Linked DNA regions of Notamacropus eugenii. The protein of the gene in region 1 purifies or fractionates together with the protein of each later gene. This does not show direct contact. Links are inferred from orthologs where the notes say so. Each region holds a gene or a part of one and is shown on either strand. Other genes may lie near its edges.

Region 1 (8,324 bases):
TAGTTTGGTTTCTCACCTATTTTTAAACTGTTTTTCTTTCCACCACTGCTTTTTAGCTATTTCATGAGATGATACTGTTCATAATCTACGACTATCCTTTTCTGTAAGGTTTTACAAACAAGCTTATATTCTAACCTGGTTTTGTCATTGGCTGATATATCTCTACTTCTCAAATAGATCAAGTATTTGGTGCCTGAGGTGATTTTTCAGCTTCTTTGATTTCAACATAATGACAATTGACATATCAATTGTGCTTTGGTGTGAAGTTTTGATCATTGTATGTCTTTTCCTATATCCATTTTCTATTTTATATGTCAAAAGCTTATTGAAAAAAGTCAAGTTGGAGCTGACTTTTTAAAATTGCACATTCTATCTTTTTTTTATTCTTTCATGTAATTTTATATTACTTTTGATCTTTGCTCTAAGAAGTTAGAGGTTGACTCTACTCAGAGAGCTGATTTAGCAATGGCTCCCATATCAGGAACAAGTTCTTTCTTGCTTGTTAAACTATAATCATTTAATTTTTTTGGTGATGTTATTTGGTGTTCATCATGCCCAGTGTTTTCCAAATCTTTTCTCTAAGAAAGTATTCATGTCTACATTTGATAATCCCAAGCTTTTGGGATAAGAATTCATTGTTTGACAAAAACTGCTGGGAAAACTGGGAAATAGTGTGGCAGAAACTGGGCATAGACCAACATCTGACACTGTATGCCAGAATAAAGTCCAAATGGGTACATGATTTAGATATAAAGGCTGATACTATAGACAAATTAGGGGAGGAAGGGATAGTTTATTTGTCAGATTTACGGAGAATGGAGGAATTTATGACCAAAAGATACAGAACATTATGAAGTGCAAATTGGATAATTCTGATTACATTAAATTGATAAGTTTTTGCACAAAGCTAATGCAACCAAGATTAGGAAGGAAGCAGAAAAGTAGGAAAGAATTTTTACAACTAGTGTCTGTGATGAAAGTCTCATTTCTAAAATATATAGAGAACTGAGTCAGATTTAAAAGAATATGTCATTCCCCAATTGATAAATGGTCAAAGGATATGAACAAGCAGTTTTCAGAAGAAGAAATTAAAGCCATTTGTAGTCATATGAAAAAATGCACTAAATCACTATTGATTAGAGAGATGCAAATCAAAACAACTCTGAGGTACCACATCATACCTATTAGACTGGCTAACATAACAAAAAAGGAAAATGATAAATGTTGGAAAAGATGTGGGAGAGTTGGAACACTAATTCATTGTTGGTGGAGCTGTGAGCTGGTCCAACCATTCTGGAGAGCAATTTGGAACTATGCCCAAAGGGCTATAAAAATGTGCATACCCTTTGACCCAGAAATACTACTTCTAGGACTGTATTCCAAAGAGATCATAAAAATGGGCAAAGGACCCACATGTACAAAAATATGTATAGCAGCTCTTTTTGGAGTGTCCAAGAACTGTGTGTGTTTGTCCTTTGTTGCTGAAGAAGACCATGCCATCAGAGAAATAATGACATGACTTGCACTTGACTTTGTTTTGAGTGAGGGAGGGCTGTGCAGGTTACCAGCCTCACTTCTCCTTCAGAGCCATCTGAATCCAGTGAACAGATATTCATCAGGATGACTAGAGATGACCCAGTTGGGGTTAAGTGACTTGTCCAAGGTCACACAGTTAGTGAGTGTCAAGTATCTGAGGTGAGATTTGAACTCAGGTCCTCCTGATTCCTGTACTGGTGCTCTATCCACTGCACCACCTAGCTGCCCTCCTTGGCCAAGAACTAGAAATAAAGGGGATGCCCATCAATTGGGGAATGGCTGAACAGGTTGTGGTATATGAATATAATGGAATACTATTGTGCTATAAGAAATGATGTACAGGTAGACTTCAGAAAAACCTGGAAAGACTTATATGAGCTGATGCTGAGTGAAGTGAACAGAATCAGGGGAACATTATACACAGTAACAGGCAGTATGCAGACTATTTTTAATGGACTTAGCCTTTTGTAGCAATGCAAGTACCTAAAACATTTCCAAAAGCTCATGATACAAAATGCCACCCATATCCAGAGAAAGAAGTATGGAGTCAGAATGCAGAATGAAGCAGACTATTTTCTCTTTTGTTTTTCTCATGGTTTCTCCCATTCATTTTAATTCTTCTATGCAACATTACTAATGTGAAAATGTGTTTAATAATGTATATGTAGAGCCCATATAAGATTGTATGCCATCTTAAGGAAGAAGGGGGGAGGAAAGGGAGAAAATTTAAAACTTATGGAAGTGATTGTTGAAAATTGAAAACAAATAAATCAATAAATTTGAAAAAAAAAATATTCCTGGCGTATAGGTGTGGGATTTCTATGGAGTATATAATTCTTTGTCCTCTTGCATCCCTTACTCCTGAAATATATTTTATCCATTCTTGCATAGTTCCTCCATTCTCATGTTTATGTTGATATCACCATGTATGAATATAGATGATAATTTAATTTGAAAGGTCTTTTTGTATCTGCAAAATTTCTTTACTTCTCAATTCTCTGCAACAATATTGATGTATAAATTACAATAATTTTCATGGTGGTATTTTCCTATACATCTATTTTGAGCACTGCCATATAAGATAATCAAATGTGCTATGATATTTCTTGTTCATCTTTGAATGCAGAATAAAACCAACTAGGCCAGTTCTTTAAGTGCCTTTCCATGGAGAATCTGTGATCCATCCTTCCATTTAACTACAACTTTCTATGTCTTCTGGTTCCATCAATAGTGAAAAGTTAAAATTGCTATGATTCAGCTGTTTTAGTAAGTGGTCCTTGGATAAGGATCTAACATTCTGTGTTCAAGTAGCTAAATTAATGTTTATAGCTGTGCGATTCACAGAACCATTTTTTCCTTTTCTCTAAAACTCTGTCACCCTCACAGCAGAAGCAGAAGGGGGCAGCACAGGATTGAGGACTGTTTTGTCTTTTATTTTGGTTCATAGGTTGCTATGGGTGAAAAATTCATCAACAAGAAGTCTGTTTATTGGTACTGACCCTCCCTATATACCTCTATGACAGTCTTTACAAAGGAGAAACAGTCTATGGTTCTTGTCATGTTGGAACCCTTTCCACAATAGTAGAAACTGCCACGTATTGTCCTCCACTGGCACTGACTTTATGAAGACAGGGCCACCTCACATTATCAAGGCATTAGAGAATGGCTCTGTGGAGCTTCATTTTGTTTTAACTCTAAAAAAGGCAAATAATATTTGCACTATCAACCTTGCCAGGCTGGTTTTTAGGAATGTTCTTGGTAAACTATGATATGGGTAAAACTATAATAACTTGGTAAGATATAATAACAGACTATGGGCTTTTATTATATTTTGATTGATGGGAACATAGATTTAGAGCTGGGAAGAGAAAACGGTGAGGACCCTGAAACCAGTCTCCATTTTCTACAAAAGAGAAAACTGAGGCACGGAGGTGTGACTGACCCAGGGTCACATAGCCAGGAAATATCTGGGACAGGGTTTGACTCTGCTTTGGGCAGGACTCTGGACCTTTACTTTGATCATCTGGGAAATAAGATGATTGAACTAGGTGACTTCTAAAGTCCAGAGTGACAGGAAACTAGCTCAGTGGCTAAAGCAGCTGGTCTGGAGGCAGGAAGACCTGAGTTCAAATCCCATCGCAGACGGTTCCTAGCGTCATGATTCTGGGCAAGTCTCTTAACCTCGGTCTGCCTCAGTTTCTTCAGTGGGGATAATGATCACAAAAGTTTATAGCACTTCCTACGTGCCAGGTACCATGCTGAGCTTTAGAAATGTTTCATAGACACTATGCGAAGCTTTACAAATATTATCTCGATTGATCCTCACGACCATTCTGGAAGTAGGTGCTATTATGATCCCCACTTTGTGGTGAGGATTAAACGAAATAGTATTTATAAAGCGCTTGGCACATCGCATTAAATAAATACTTATTTCCGCACTTCCTACTAGGGTGCCTTCCAGCTCTATACAGGCACGTAATCCTCGAGAGGACTACAAATCCCAGGATGCAATAAAAACTTCCCTCCGGGGGCGGAGTCATGAAAGGGGGTGGGAGCCGGAGGGAAGGGAGGAGCATGCTGCTTTCTGGGAGTCGTAGTCCCTACGCCTCGGACTAGTCCACGTGGTCGGCCCGGCACCAGCTGGGGTTTGCCGGCTGCCTCACACTCTCACCCCACCGGCTCCGTGAGGCTCGGGTGTCGCCGCGAGGGGCAGCGAGCTCCGAGGCCGAGAGCTGTCGGGGAGGGGGAGGAGGAGGAGGAAGACGAAGAGGAGGAGGAGAAGGGAACCTGAGGGTTTGCGACGTTTTTTTGCGACAGCCGCGGCCGCGTTCCGTGATTTCCCCCTCCCCTCCGGTCTCGCTCTCCCTCTCTCTGTGTTTGTGTGTGTGTGTGCGTGTGAGTGTGTGTATGTATGTGTGTGTGTATGTGTGTGTGTGTGTGTATGTGTGTGTAGATACCGGCTGTTGTGTGGTGCCGCTGCCTCTCTGGGTGAGTGTGCTTGCGCGTGTGAGTGGGTGAGTGTGTGTGTGAGTGGGTGAGAGAGGGAGTGAGTGTGTGAGGGAGAGGAGGAGGAGGAGGAGGAGGAGGAAGAGAGCGGCAGCCTCTGCAGCCGCCGCCGCCGCCCCAGCCAGCCCGGGGACGAGGACCGAGAGCGGCTCGGGCTCCGGGCTCCGGGCCCCGGCCGCTTCCCCTTCGCTCCCCGGCTCCGTCTCTCGCCCCTCCGCTGGATGTCCCCGGCTCCGGCGCGGGGCCTCCTCCTCCTCCTCTTCCTGCATCAGCCGGGGTGGTGCCGCCGCCGGCGGGCGTGAAGCGGGCGGGACCCCGGGGGCCGCGGCTGCCTCCGCTCCCCCCCGGACCCCGGCCCGGGCCCCGGCGCCTCCCCCTCCCCGCCCGCCCGCCCGGAGGCTGTGACAATGGACTATGACTTCAAAGTGAAGCTCAGCAGCGAGCGGGAGCGCGTCGAGGACCTGTTTGAATACGAGGGCTGCAAAGTTGGCCGCGGCACTTACGGTCACGTCTACAAAGCCAAGAGGAAGGACGGGTGAGTGGGCCGTGCGTGGGCCCCGGTGCGTGCCCGCCCGGGTGCGCTCCAGCAGGCCGGCGGGAGGGCCGGGCCGGGCTGGGGCGTGGGGGGGCGGCCGTGTCACCCGCCGGCTCTGCCCCGCAGCCCTTCTCCCACGCTTCCCATTCTTCCTGGTCCCCTTAGCCAGGTCTGCGCGGAAGGGGGGATGGGGGAGGAATCCAGATAGCCAGAAATCCCAGGTGCCGCTTGTGCTTGTTTCCACCGTGGGTAGGGGTGGCGGTGGCAGCCGCGGGAGAGGGGCGTCCCCGGCCCTCGGCAGCTGTGCTCTTTGAGGAGGGGTCGGCAGAAGCGCCTCTGGTCGGAGGGCGGCGAGCTGGGTGTTAGAAGTTGCATTAGTATGCTGTGCTTACCGTTCTGGGGACTTTCCCATCCCCCTCCCGAGTGACATCCATCAGTCTGGAGAGCGGTGCAGTTTAAGGGCAGCTGGGGTCGCCTCTCTGCTTCTCTCTCTCTCTCTCTCTCTCTCTCTCTCCTCTCTCTCTCTCTCTCTCTCTCTCTCTCTCTCTCTCTCTCTCTTTCTCTCTCTCTCTCTCTCTCCCTCTCTCCCTCTCTCCCTCTCTCCCCCTCTCCCCCTCTCTCCCCCCCCCCCTCTCTCTCTCTCTCTCTCTCTCTCTCTCTCTCTCTCTCTCCCTCTCTCCCCCCTCTCCCTCCTTCCCTCTCTGCCTCTCCCTCTCTCTCTCTCTCTCTCTCTCTCTCTCTCTCTCTCTCTCTCTCTCTCTCTCTTCCTCTCCCTCTCTCTTCCTCTCCCTCTCTCTCCCTCCCTCTCTCTCTGTCTGTCTGTCTCTGTTTCTCTCTCCCTCCCTCTCCCTCCCTCTCCCTCCCTCTCCCTCCCTTTCCCTCCCTCTCTCCCTCCCCCTCCCTCACCCTCTCCCCCTCCCTCTCCCTCTCCCCCTCCCTCTCTCTTCCTCTCTCTCTCCCTTCCTCTCCCTCTCTCTCCCTCCCTCTCTCTGTCTGTTTGTCTCTGTCTCTTTCTCTCTCCCTCCCTCTCTCTCCCTCCCTCTCCCTCTCTCCCCCTCCCTCTCTCTCCCTCCCTCTCCCTTCCTCTCCCTCCTCTCTCTCTCTCTCTCTCTCTCTCTCTCTCACTCACTCTCACTCTCTCTCACCCTCTCCCCCTCCCTCTCTCTCCCTCTCCTTCCTTCTCTCTTTCCTCCCCTCAGTTTGTAATCGTTTTTTACCTTTAAATTCGGGTTTTATTTCTTGGAAGGAAGGCGGCAAAGAAATGTTGATAGCGGGAGCTGATTACTATGATCATCTCCTACGTGTATGTGGCACTTGCCATTTAGATTTCATTAGCCCATGGAGAAGCAGTGAGTTTTTACATAGAACAATGGGGGTTTGATGCAGGGTGGGTGGTGGGAAATGACTAGTGACAAATAGGGACTATGTTCTATGCCTAGGTATTCCCTCCTCCCCTCCCCAAATTTAGGAGCTGGAAGTGAACTTTAAATAGTCCGTTTACTTGAAAAAATTTTTTTTCTTGTACATAACTTAATTAAATCTATGACTGGTAATCCTCTCAATATAGCTACTCGAACTGACAGGTGAAATACTCCCTTTTTCCCTTTGTCAGTAGATGGAATATTTTATAACATCGACAAAAGAGAAGACAGTTGTCATTTGGGGTGGAAAATGTATTTGATTACTCCCTGTTTTCTTTTACATGAATAAATATCTTCCCAGCCTGCGTTCCACTTGGAATTGTTGGGAAGAGACTATTCAAGTCTTGTTATATAAGCTTTGGAATTTTATTAAAAATCAACATAGGAATACTTGCATATCCCCATCATTTTTGATTATTTACTACTTAACCTTAAAAATAGGGCAGCTTGATTTTTTCTTTCTATTTGAAAAGCAGGATGTGATGGATCAATCAGGAATGTCGGCACAGAAATAAGCATTTGACAAAACTGAAATAAGTCATCTTCGAATATTGAAACAATTAAAAACAATTTGAATATTCTGCATATTGAAGAGAAAGTACTTATTCAGCATTTTTCTTACCTTTACTGAAATTTCTTTCAAAAAGAATGTGAAATAGAAAGCCCATGAGGAAAAGTGCCATAGTTACTGATTTGTATGTATACTCCAGCAGTTTTCTGGAGAGTTAAAGCTTTTTATATATCTGCAATCAATCTGGAGGGATTTCAAAGCTTGATACTATTTATTGAATATATTTAAAATTCTGCCTCCCCCCATTTTAAAAACAGAATAGTCAGTTCAGTGACATTTAAGAAAACAATTTCTGGATATATTGCTTACTCTATTGTCCAGTTAGATTTGTCATTAAAATATGACCAGAAGAGTATATATGCATTTTACAAATCATGCTTGATTAATTTCTCACAGACATTTTCCCAAAAATCTCCTCTCCCCACAGTGTAAAAGTTTGGAGAAATTAATAAAATTTTGAACCCCAGGAAATTGGAAAGTCTAGTTGTTTTGATCAACTTGTCATGCATTTTATAAAATTCTACTGACTATGAATTACTCTTTTATTCCTTAAGAGGAACCAGCTACATTTGCAAGAAATTGCCAATGTATGCTGATATAAATATGCAAATTTGTGGCTTTAACTATGATTACACGTTTTATTAAACCAGCTGTATTACAGTATGCTTGAAGGAGATACTTTTCAACATGTTTTTATGTCTCATTGTCATGTTTTAATTTATGTTGTTTTAAAAAGATAGAATTACCATAATTTAAAAACAGTTTTAAAAAGAGTACCTTGTATAAATTGTTTTTTTAAAAAATTTTATTGTAACAAAAGGAATACTGACTGTATTTTCAAAAGGAGATTTTTTTTATTTAAAATTCTTTGAGCTTCCTTTTGTTTATATGATGAGCTTTCAAAGATGTATTGAATATCGGATTTTAACCTAAGATTGTTTCAGTTTTCCAGAGGTTCATTTTTCTCTTTGACTTCTTCCAGTAAAATATAGTATTGTGTCTCTCTGAAGTTATCTTTTTATTGTATGTCTGTTTAATGCAATGTAATTTACCCTTCATCTTAGTGATGCGAAGTCTACAGCCATTAAATTTTTTAATAAAATAAAGATGATTAAGTAATTTTTGTTTTTCAGTATTGATTCTACAGCTTACATTTCAACCTGATCAAAGAGCTCAACAAATGATAGGCACAAATTTGAGAAACATGATTATTGCTATGAAATTTTATCTTTACTGTGTATAGTAAGATGAAATT
Region 2 (7,933 bases), on another chromosome or scaffold:
AGAATTCTACAAAGAAGATAAGAGGTATAGAGTTCAAGAGATGATAAATTCTCCCTCTTGAGGCTACTGCTTGTACCCTGAGGGACTAGGAGTACTGATGACTGTGAAGAAATGGCTGGCAATACGGATGTGGTATTGTGAACTACATCCAGTAGAGTAAGATGCCTCCTCATTGTCAGTTAGCCAATAAACATTTATTAAAGAACTACTATGTGGTAGGCACTATGCTAAGTATGTGCATGGAGGAGGATACAAAAAAAGGAAAAGGAAAGGAGCTCACCAGCTGATGGGGGAAGAAAACACACAAAAAGGAACTAAAAGGGAGCAGAATGTCTGGATGCAGGACATGAAGACCCTTGGACGTCTACTGAGTTCTTCCAGTCAGGGCACCAAATCTTATTATTTTTATCAAATTTTTCCTCACTTAAAAGTCCCTTCTCCCTCCTCCTTTAGCCTTATGATTAGCTTCATTTCAGTCATCCTCTGGCCTATACCTTAGGGAGTCTTAGGTAGCCGAGTAGATAAGGATAAAAGTGAAAGTAGCCTAAGGCCCACTCATTGTTTTGGAGAGGCCTCTTCCAATTAAATTGAGGAATTCACACACCTACAATTTCTAGGGTGGGGCATGACTTTGACTTTTAGACTTTGTATGACTTCAACTTTTTCTGGTCTTCCCTAGAACTACTTCTTCCTCCTCAGCTTTAACTATTGACGTCCCTATCTTCCTTTAAGTCCTTTATTTTATTGGAAGCCTTTCCTAAAATCTTTTAATTCTAGTGCCTTTTCTCTGTTAATTATTTCCTATTTATTCTGCATATATATAACTTCCTTTGTACACATTCGTATTCATATTACCTCTTCCAATAGATTGTAAGCTCCTTGAAGGCAGGCTGTCTTTTGTCTCTTTTTGTTGCCCTAGAACTTAGCACTGTGACTGGCACATTAAGTGCTTAATAAATATTTAATGATTTAATGACTTTCACACAAATAATAACCATTACCTGATTTATAACCTAATTCACTGAGAACATATTTGAAAGTATATTGATGTATTAGGAATAAATATATTAGGCTGAGCAACTCCATTTGGTTTTCAACCTCCATTTTATGACTAAATAGTCCATATATAAGCTATTTTGTTCTCCCTGTAATAAGATAAGCACTTGAGTGGTATAGTTTGGCCCACAAATCTGTTAAATGATTGGGGGCCATCTCCAGGGGCCATCTATATCATGCCACTGGACCCAGATGGCTTCAGAGGAAAATAGTGAGGCTGGTGACTTTGCACATCCCTCCCTCACTTAAATCCAGTTCACTTTCAAGTCATGGCATCATCTTCCTGAAGTCATTGTTATCTTCTAGAAAAGGACAAAGAGCAGCAAGTAATCACTAATGACTATTCCCCAAATCTGGTAAGTAACAGTTAAGTACCTGCAAATTGCATCAAGTATGTTGTCCCAAATCTTCCAAAAGTCCCAACGTTTAGTAATGACATTAGGAAACTAAAACTTTGATTGGTAGTTCTGTAATGGATAATTTCATCAGTAGCTTAGGTAACTAATCACCAGTCAGAACATAGACATAACTTGGGAACTCCCTTCACCAGAACCATAAAAGCCCGCAGCACTAGAGACCCAAGCCTTCACCCTGCTCTTGTGTTTCAACTAAGGCAGGCTTCTGAACATTCTCTCAAGAACAGTGCAAAGTGCCAGTTATGGAGACTCACCAGAAAGCCACCTCCTCAGGAGCAAAGGAAGGAAGGAAACTTTCCATGAGCACTGGGATGAGACTTAAGACCTTTAGGAATCAGGTTGCTGGCTTGTTCCTAGAGGGGTTGATGATATTAGTGTATTATCAGCCTATTAATAAGCATAATAATGACTAAATGTGGTGGCAGTAAAAATTTGGGCAAAAAATACTAACCCTTAGCATTTGCTTCCTGTGTTCTTTGTTCTTGGCATGTGGAGTTAAGGATCTCTTACTCAGGACACAGCTGGCCTCAGACCTGGGTTTCTGAGGGAGCAGCATGGGGGATTCCTTCTGCTGGTCCTCAGGCCAAGGTTCCTGCCCAGAACAAAAATAACAATAGCACTAGCCTAACAATTTAAGATTTGCAAAGTACCTCCTTATATATTGACTTATTTGATTCAGGGGCTGGAGAAGGTGCAAGCTGCAGTTAAGCAGTGTCCAGTAGTGACCAGTGGGACAAGGCACAGACAAGAAGAATCCAGGAAAGTCCAACAGCATCCAGTCAAAACTTCACCACCAAGAGCAGTAGAAGCAGCACCAAAACGAACAGATCTGCAGGCTTTTGGAGAGGTAAATATCCCTTTCTGGCTTCCCTTCCCTATGAGTGCCTTGGTCTCACATGTGTTTCCTATATGAGCTTTCCTATTTGTGATCTCTGTTTGTGTTAACTCTTCCCATTGACGTCGGTTATTAGTGGGAAAGTTTGAACTGTTCATTTATGGAAATGTTTAGCTGCTACTTTTTTTAAAATTATATTTCAGCAATGTTTTTGCTTTGAGCTTATCATATACTCTGGGTGACTATTGAAAGTAAATACATCATTGAGGGTTTGTGGGCCATAGTCTTAGGAATTCAGGTCTTCCCTATACCTTGAAATTCTGTGGTAGCCAACCTCTCCTGAAGGGCAGGGACTGGGTTTTGGTCTTTCTTTGTATGCCCAGTGCTCATCCTAAGTGGGTACCTGCATAGACTTTGGCCTAAAGGGGCCAAGATCTCCCAGTGCATCTTGGGTTATCTCCAGTCACCCTGATGAATATCTGGTCACTGGATTCAGATGGCTCCGGAGAAGATAGGCTGGTGACCTGCACCACCCTCCCTCAGTCAAAACAAAGTCAAATGCAGTCATATCATCATTTCTCTGACAGCATGGTCTTCTTCGGCAATGAAGGATGAACACAAATGCTTAGCATAGTTCCTATCACTCAGCCTCATAGATGTAATTTCCGGGTAATTAATCATTTTATTAATAATGCCAGCATGTTTATTAGTAAAAGATGGTCATTTACCTATTTCTCTTGGACCAAAGATTATCTTGGTTGCGGCTCAAGCTTGTATGCCCATTGGAAGAGGAATGTTTACAAGGGTAGCCATCAATTCTGATTAGCTAACAGTGAGATTATGTGGATTTCAAGGAGGGGGCTCATCCAGGAACTTTGATTATGTCACTTCCTTCCTAAATTACTGCCTTGGGCAATCTATTCAAAGAACTGATTCCTCACCCAGTGCAAAATAACTTCTCCAACCACATAGGGTCTGAACAAGAAAGTTCAGTCTCATTATCAATAACACTCCTTGAGAGACTGAACTTTTAAAATCAGGACTTAAGAAAAAAGGGGGGAATGGCCCCAAATCATTGATTATTAACAATGATTTCTCTCACTTTTATTGACTGACTCCCCCTGGGGTACTACATTTTTATCCCCTACTAGATTTCCCTGCTTTTCCAGCCTCTGGGATATCTTTTTGGATTCCCCCACTTGGATTGCATTTTATATTGGTGGTCATCTTTCACTACAGAAGTAGTTGCCAATTTTTGTTTGTTTGTCCTGAGAATCCTTTTCACCAGGAACAACAAAAAAGAAATGTGTTGTGAACCCCTAGGATAATTTAATACACTACCCACTGGACCACCTAGAGGTTTTGAACGGTGCCTACTGGGTTGTATAATGATAGCTAACATTTGTGTAGTATTTGCTAAGCACCTTACAGTCCTCCCACTGGATCCTCACAGCCACCCTGGGAGACAACTTCACTTTATAGACGAGGAAACTGAGGTAGAGGTTGAGGGGCTTGCCCACCCTTGCCCAGTTAGCGCATGAAGCCACACTGGCACTCAGGCTTTGCTGACTCCAAGCCTGATTTCTACCTCTGCCTTGAAGGCAGAGACCACCCATGGGAGGAATTGGGATCCACAGCTCTAGGAGCACCTATTTTATGTTGCACACTGCGACAGCTGCGCCTACCTGTAATGGAAAGGACTGGTGAATTTCAGGGTCTGAGGCTGCCTTCGACCCTAAAGGTGTGAACACAGGCAGGTCACGTGATTTGTTTTCTCCTCCATAAAATGGGGAGAATGCCGACTGCGGGGACCCGCCTCTCATGGGGTCTCAACGGAATTCAAAGGAGTTTAACAAAAGTGTGTCTAGTGTGTACCAAACTTCAGAGCTAGAAGAACAATTACTGTTTTTTTAAAGTTTTTTAAATTACTGAATTTTTACATTTTAAAGTATTTTTCAAAGTATCTCCTTTCCATGATTTTTCCCCCACTATTTTTCTTTCCGATTTTAAATACTAGCGGCCGTATCAGCCGTGACTTTCGACAAAAGGTTCCCTTGATTTGCCTCTCTGGAAAAATTCCCCCCAAGAACTTTCAGTCCCGCAAAAGTCCCAGGGAGCATGCGCAGGCGTGGGAGCCGCGCCAGCCCCTAAACAGACCGTGTGGGGGGAGGGTTAGTGCCTTAACGGACGGCTCCGGGAGCCAATCAGAAGGCGCTCCATGGGGGAGACGGGGAGGGGAGGCTCTTCTTCCTGACTAAGGCGGCCGGAAGTCGGCGGCCATAGACGCGGTTTATCCGCGACGCTCTAGAAACTGCGTGAAGTAGTGGGAGGTGAGTGGCGATGTCAGCTGGGGACGTGGGATCTCGGCGCGGTTTGGGTTTTTTTCTCCCGGGGGATTTCTCGGCAGGGAAAGGGCCAGCGGAGCTGCAGGCTCCCGGCTGTGGGGAGGGCGCTCGGCGTGCTCGCCCCTGCCCTTTTCTGTAAACATCCCCGCCCCCTCCCCCCCGATTTACCCGCCCCCTCGCGGCGCCCCGGCTACGGCGGGGGTCGCGGCCCCTCCCCGTGGAAGGCCTGTGGGTGTGGGAGCTGGGCCCCCCCCCCCCGCCCCAGTCGGGCGGCCCCCTGGACCCCCTGCCGAGAGGCTCGTCCCTGCGGGCCCCCGGAGGAAAGTGAGACTTGGAAGGTTTGGGGACTGTGCATTTTCCCTCCCGGTGCCTGCGGTGTTCCTCCTCCTCCTCCTCCTCCTCCTCCTCCTCCTCCTCCTCCTCCTCCTCCTCCTCCTCCTCCTCCTCCTCCTCCTCCTCCTCCTCCTCCTCCCCCTCCCCCTCCCCCTCCCCCTCCCCCCCCTCCCCCTCCCCCTCCCCCTCCTCCTCCTCCTCCTCACGTCCTGGCACCCCCCGACTCTCCTCTAAGACCCGCCAGCCTTAACTCGTACCTTTAGTGCGAACATTTTCCCTCTGTGTCTCGGCACCCCCCCATCTCTTGTTTGTACAGAGGTGTTTGTGTGCCCCCCCAACTCTTGTTTATATAAAGGTGTTCGTGTGCCCCCCCAACTCTTGTTTATACGGAGGTGTTCGTGTGCCCCCCCAACTCTTGTTTATACGGAGGTGTTCGTGTGCCCCCCAACTCTTGTTTATACGGAGGTGTTCGTGTGCCCCCCCAACCCCTCATCGAATGCTCCTGGAGGGAAAACATTCTTGGTGTTCCCGTACTTAGCGCACACCTTGGCATAGGATCGCTGTTGACTTTTGCCGCCGTTTTGTCAGAACTGAATGAAACTCATTTTAGAGTGTAGAGGTGGTCGTCATAGCCCAAAAAATCGGTATTGATGCTGGTTCTTTAATGTTTCCCAACCTTGTACGTTAGTGGTCCCGTTTGGTTAAAAACAGCTCAGCGAAGCAGACGTTTATATACCTATTTTACAAAGGAAAAAGGAGCTCTGAGAGGTTAAGTGATTTACACGGGGTTATTTTGGTAGTGAGTGGCTCAAATGAATCCACAAGCATTTACTTCATGAGAACTTGGGGATTCAGAGACGAAACAAAATCGTTTCCTACAAACTTAGGTCTAACTGCACGGGACGTAAGGGGCGCACCAGCAGCTGGAAGGTGGTGTTTAATTTAAGGAGGTGAGAAGAGACTCTGCATGAGGACAATCTTTGAAAAAAGCAATGGTTATAGGATATAAAGGGATATTTTTAATTCACTTGACTAAAACCCCTTTACTGATTAAACTTTAGCTTGGTGGTGTTTAAAGCAATGTTTTCAAGATCACACAGGTAGAGCGGGAATTAAGAGTCTAGCAGTGTTTTTGTTTTTTAATTTGCAAGGTGTAGTGGTTTTTACCATTATGGCCTTGTAGCTTAGAGGTAGGACTTTATCTAGATAGGATTTCTTTGGCTAACTGGTAAGGAGACAGGCAGTTCCAGGTGAGGGGGAAAAGAGTATGTTATTTTTGGGACAGTGAGGAAATTTACCATACCAGTTGCGGATGCTTTCAGGCCCATCACCTTGTAGTTATAAGGAGCATTGGTGAGGGAAGACTTTGGCTAAGATCACATAAATAAGTGCCATCTGAGACCTTGAACCTGTGTATTCCAGTGGTGTCCACTGCCTCTGTACCCTTTTTCAAAGACACCTTCAACCCTTTCCCATCCCAAAAAATAAAGAATGTTGGACTTCTTTTATTTCCTTTTCATATGTGAATTCACATATTGCTAGTATTTTTATTTGATTTTGATTCAAGAAAACTTCAACTTTGGAGGGACCTCACCCTCAGTGGCCATCTAGTCCAACCGATTCCTCAGAAGGAAGTCCCATAAGTAGTCGTTAAGAGCCTTTTCATGTTCAAAGCACTGAACTAGTCGCCAGATGCTGGTGTTTTATATATACGTATACACACACACACATATATACACACACATCTATATTATATATTATATATATAATTATATACAGTATATAGTATTATATATATAAATAATTAAAACTCTTTGCTGTTAGGGAGCTTAAAATTCTCTGGTCTAGAATTGCCAGTTGGTTATTGGATATGTCTGACTTGAATAATCCAAATAAAGGCACTTCACACTAAACATTTCCAATACATAATTCTTTATCTTTCCCCAAACTTAACTTGCTTTCCTATTTTTGTTGAGGGTACCCCCAGTCCTTTAGTCCCTAGTTTACAGCCTCTTAGTTATCCTCAAGAAACACTTCATTGCCTCTTTATGCTTTTGGATAAATCACTTCACTTTCTTGAGTTTATTATCTCCAAAATAAGAGGATTGGCTCTGAAGATGGCCTCAGAAATCTCTTAGGGCTCTAGATGCATGATTCTATGATTCTGAGTTGCTTTTCCCATCTAGTCAGTTGTTTTGTTTTTTCCTTTTTCCACATCTCTCAGATCCTTTTTTTTCCCCCTGCTCTATCATGTAGTTCAGCTATTCATTCTCTCTTAACTGTATGATTACAATTGCTTCCTAATTAGTTTTCTTGCCTCAGATGTCTTCCCCCTTTCCAATCCATTCTCCACACAGCTATCAAAGAGATATTCTTAAAGGAGCAATGATAGTCATCTGCTTAAGCTTCATTTGGTCCCTTATTGCCTCTAGGATCAAATACAAACTTCTCTCTTTGGACTTTAAAGCTTTTGGCAATCTGTATCCAGCCTACCTTTCTGAACTTATTACCTCTGTTCACACACTTTATAGTCCAGCTACACTGGCCTACTTTCTATTTCATCTTCATCCTGTGCCTCCATACATACTGTGTATGCCCTTTTCACTCTACTTCTAGAATCCCTAGTTTCCATCACTTTGGTTTGTTCACCATCTTCTACATGAGACCTTTCCTGGTATCTACAACTAGTAGTACCTTTTTCCCTCCTCTTACCTATCCCTAAATTATATATACTTTATGTTTGTCTGTTAGAGTGTAAATAAACCCTTCCAGGGCAGAGATGATATCTCTGTATCCCTAACACCAAGCAATGTTTCTGATATACAATACATATTAATGAATGCATATTAGGGAAGGTCTGTCTTGTACAGAATAAAGGGCTCAATATGTGTTTAATGAATAAATCCTAATTGGGACTCTTGCTGAACTCTTTCACTTATATAATACCT

Evidence for each region.
Region 2: the proteins of CDK8 (region 1) and MED7 purify together in Homo sapiens (affinity purification with mass spectrometry; 7 studies listed by BioGRID and IntAct, counting the BioPlex papers as one, with this or other methods). This does not show direct contact. The link is inferred for Notamacropus eugenii from reciprocal best matches to the Homo sapiens genes CDK8 and MED7.

The regions. Positions count from the first base shown.
Region 1 is NC_092876.1:193,788,086-193,796,409, forward strand, and holds the start of CDK8 (cyclin-dependent kinase 8), read left to right. Parts: upstream 1-4,949; coding exon 4,950-5,077; intron 5,078-5,469; exon of another isoform or gene 5,470-5,592; intron 5,593-8,324.
Region 2 is NC_092872.1:386,117,225-386,125,157, reverse strand, and holds the start of MED7 (mediator of RNA polymerase II transcription subunit 7), read left to right. Parts: upstream 1-4,502; 5' UTR 4,503-4,637; intron 4,638-7,933. UniProt on the Homo sapiens protein: Component of the Mediator complex, a coactivator involved in the regulated transcription of nearly all RNA polymerase II-dependent genes.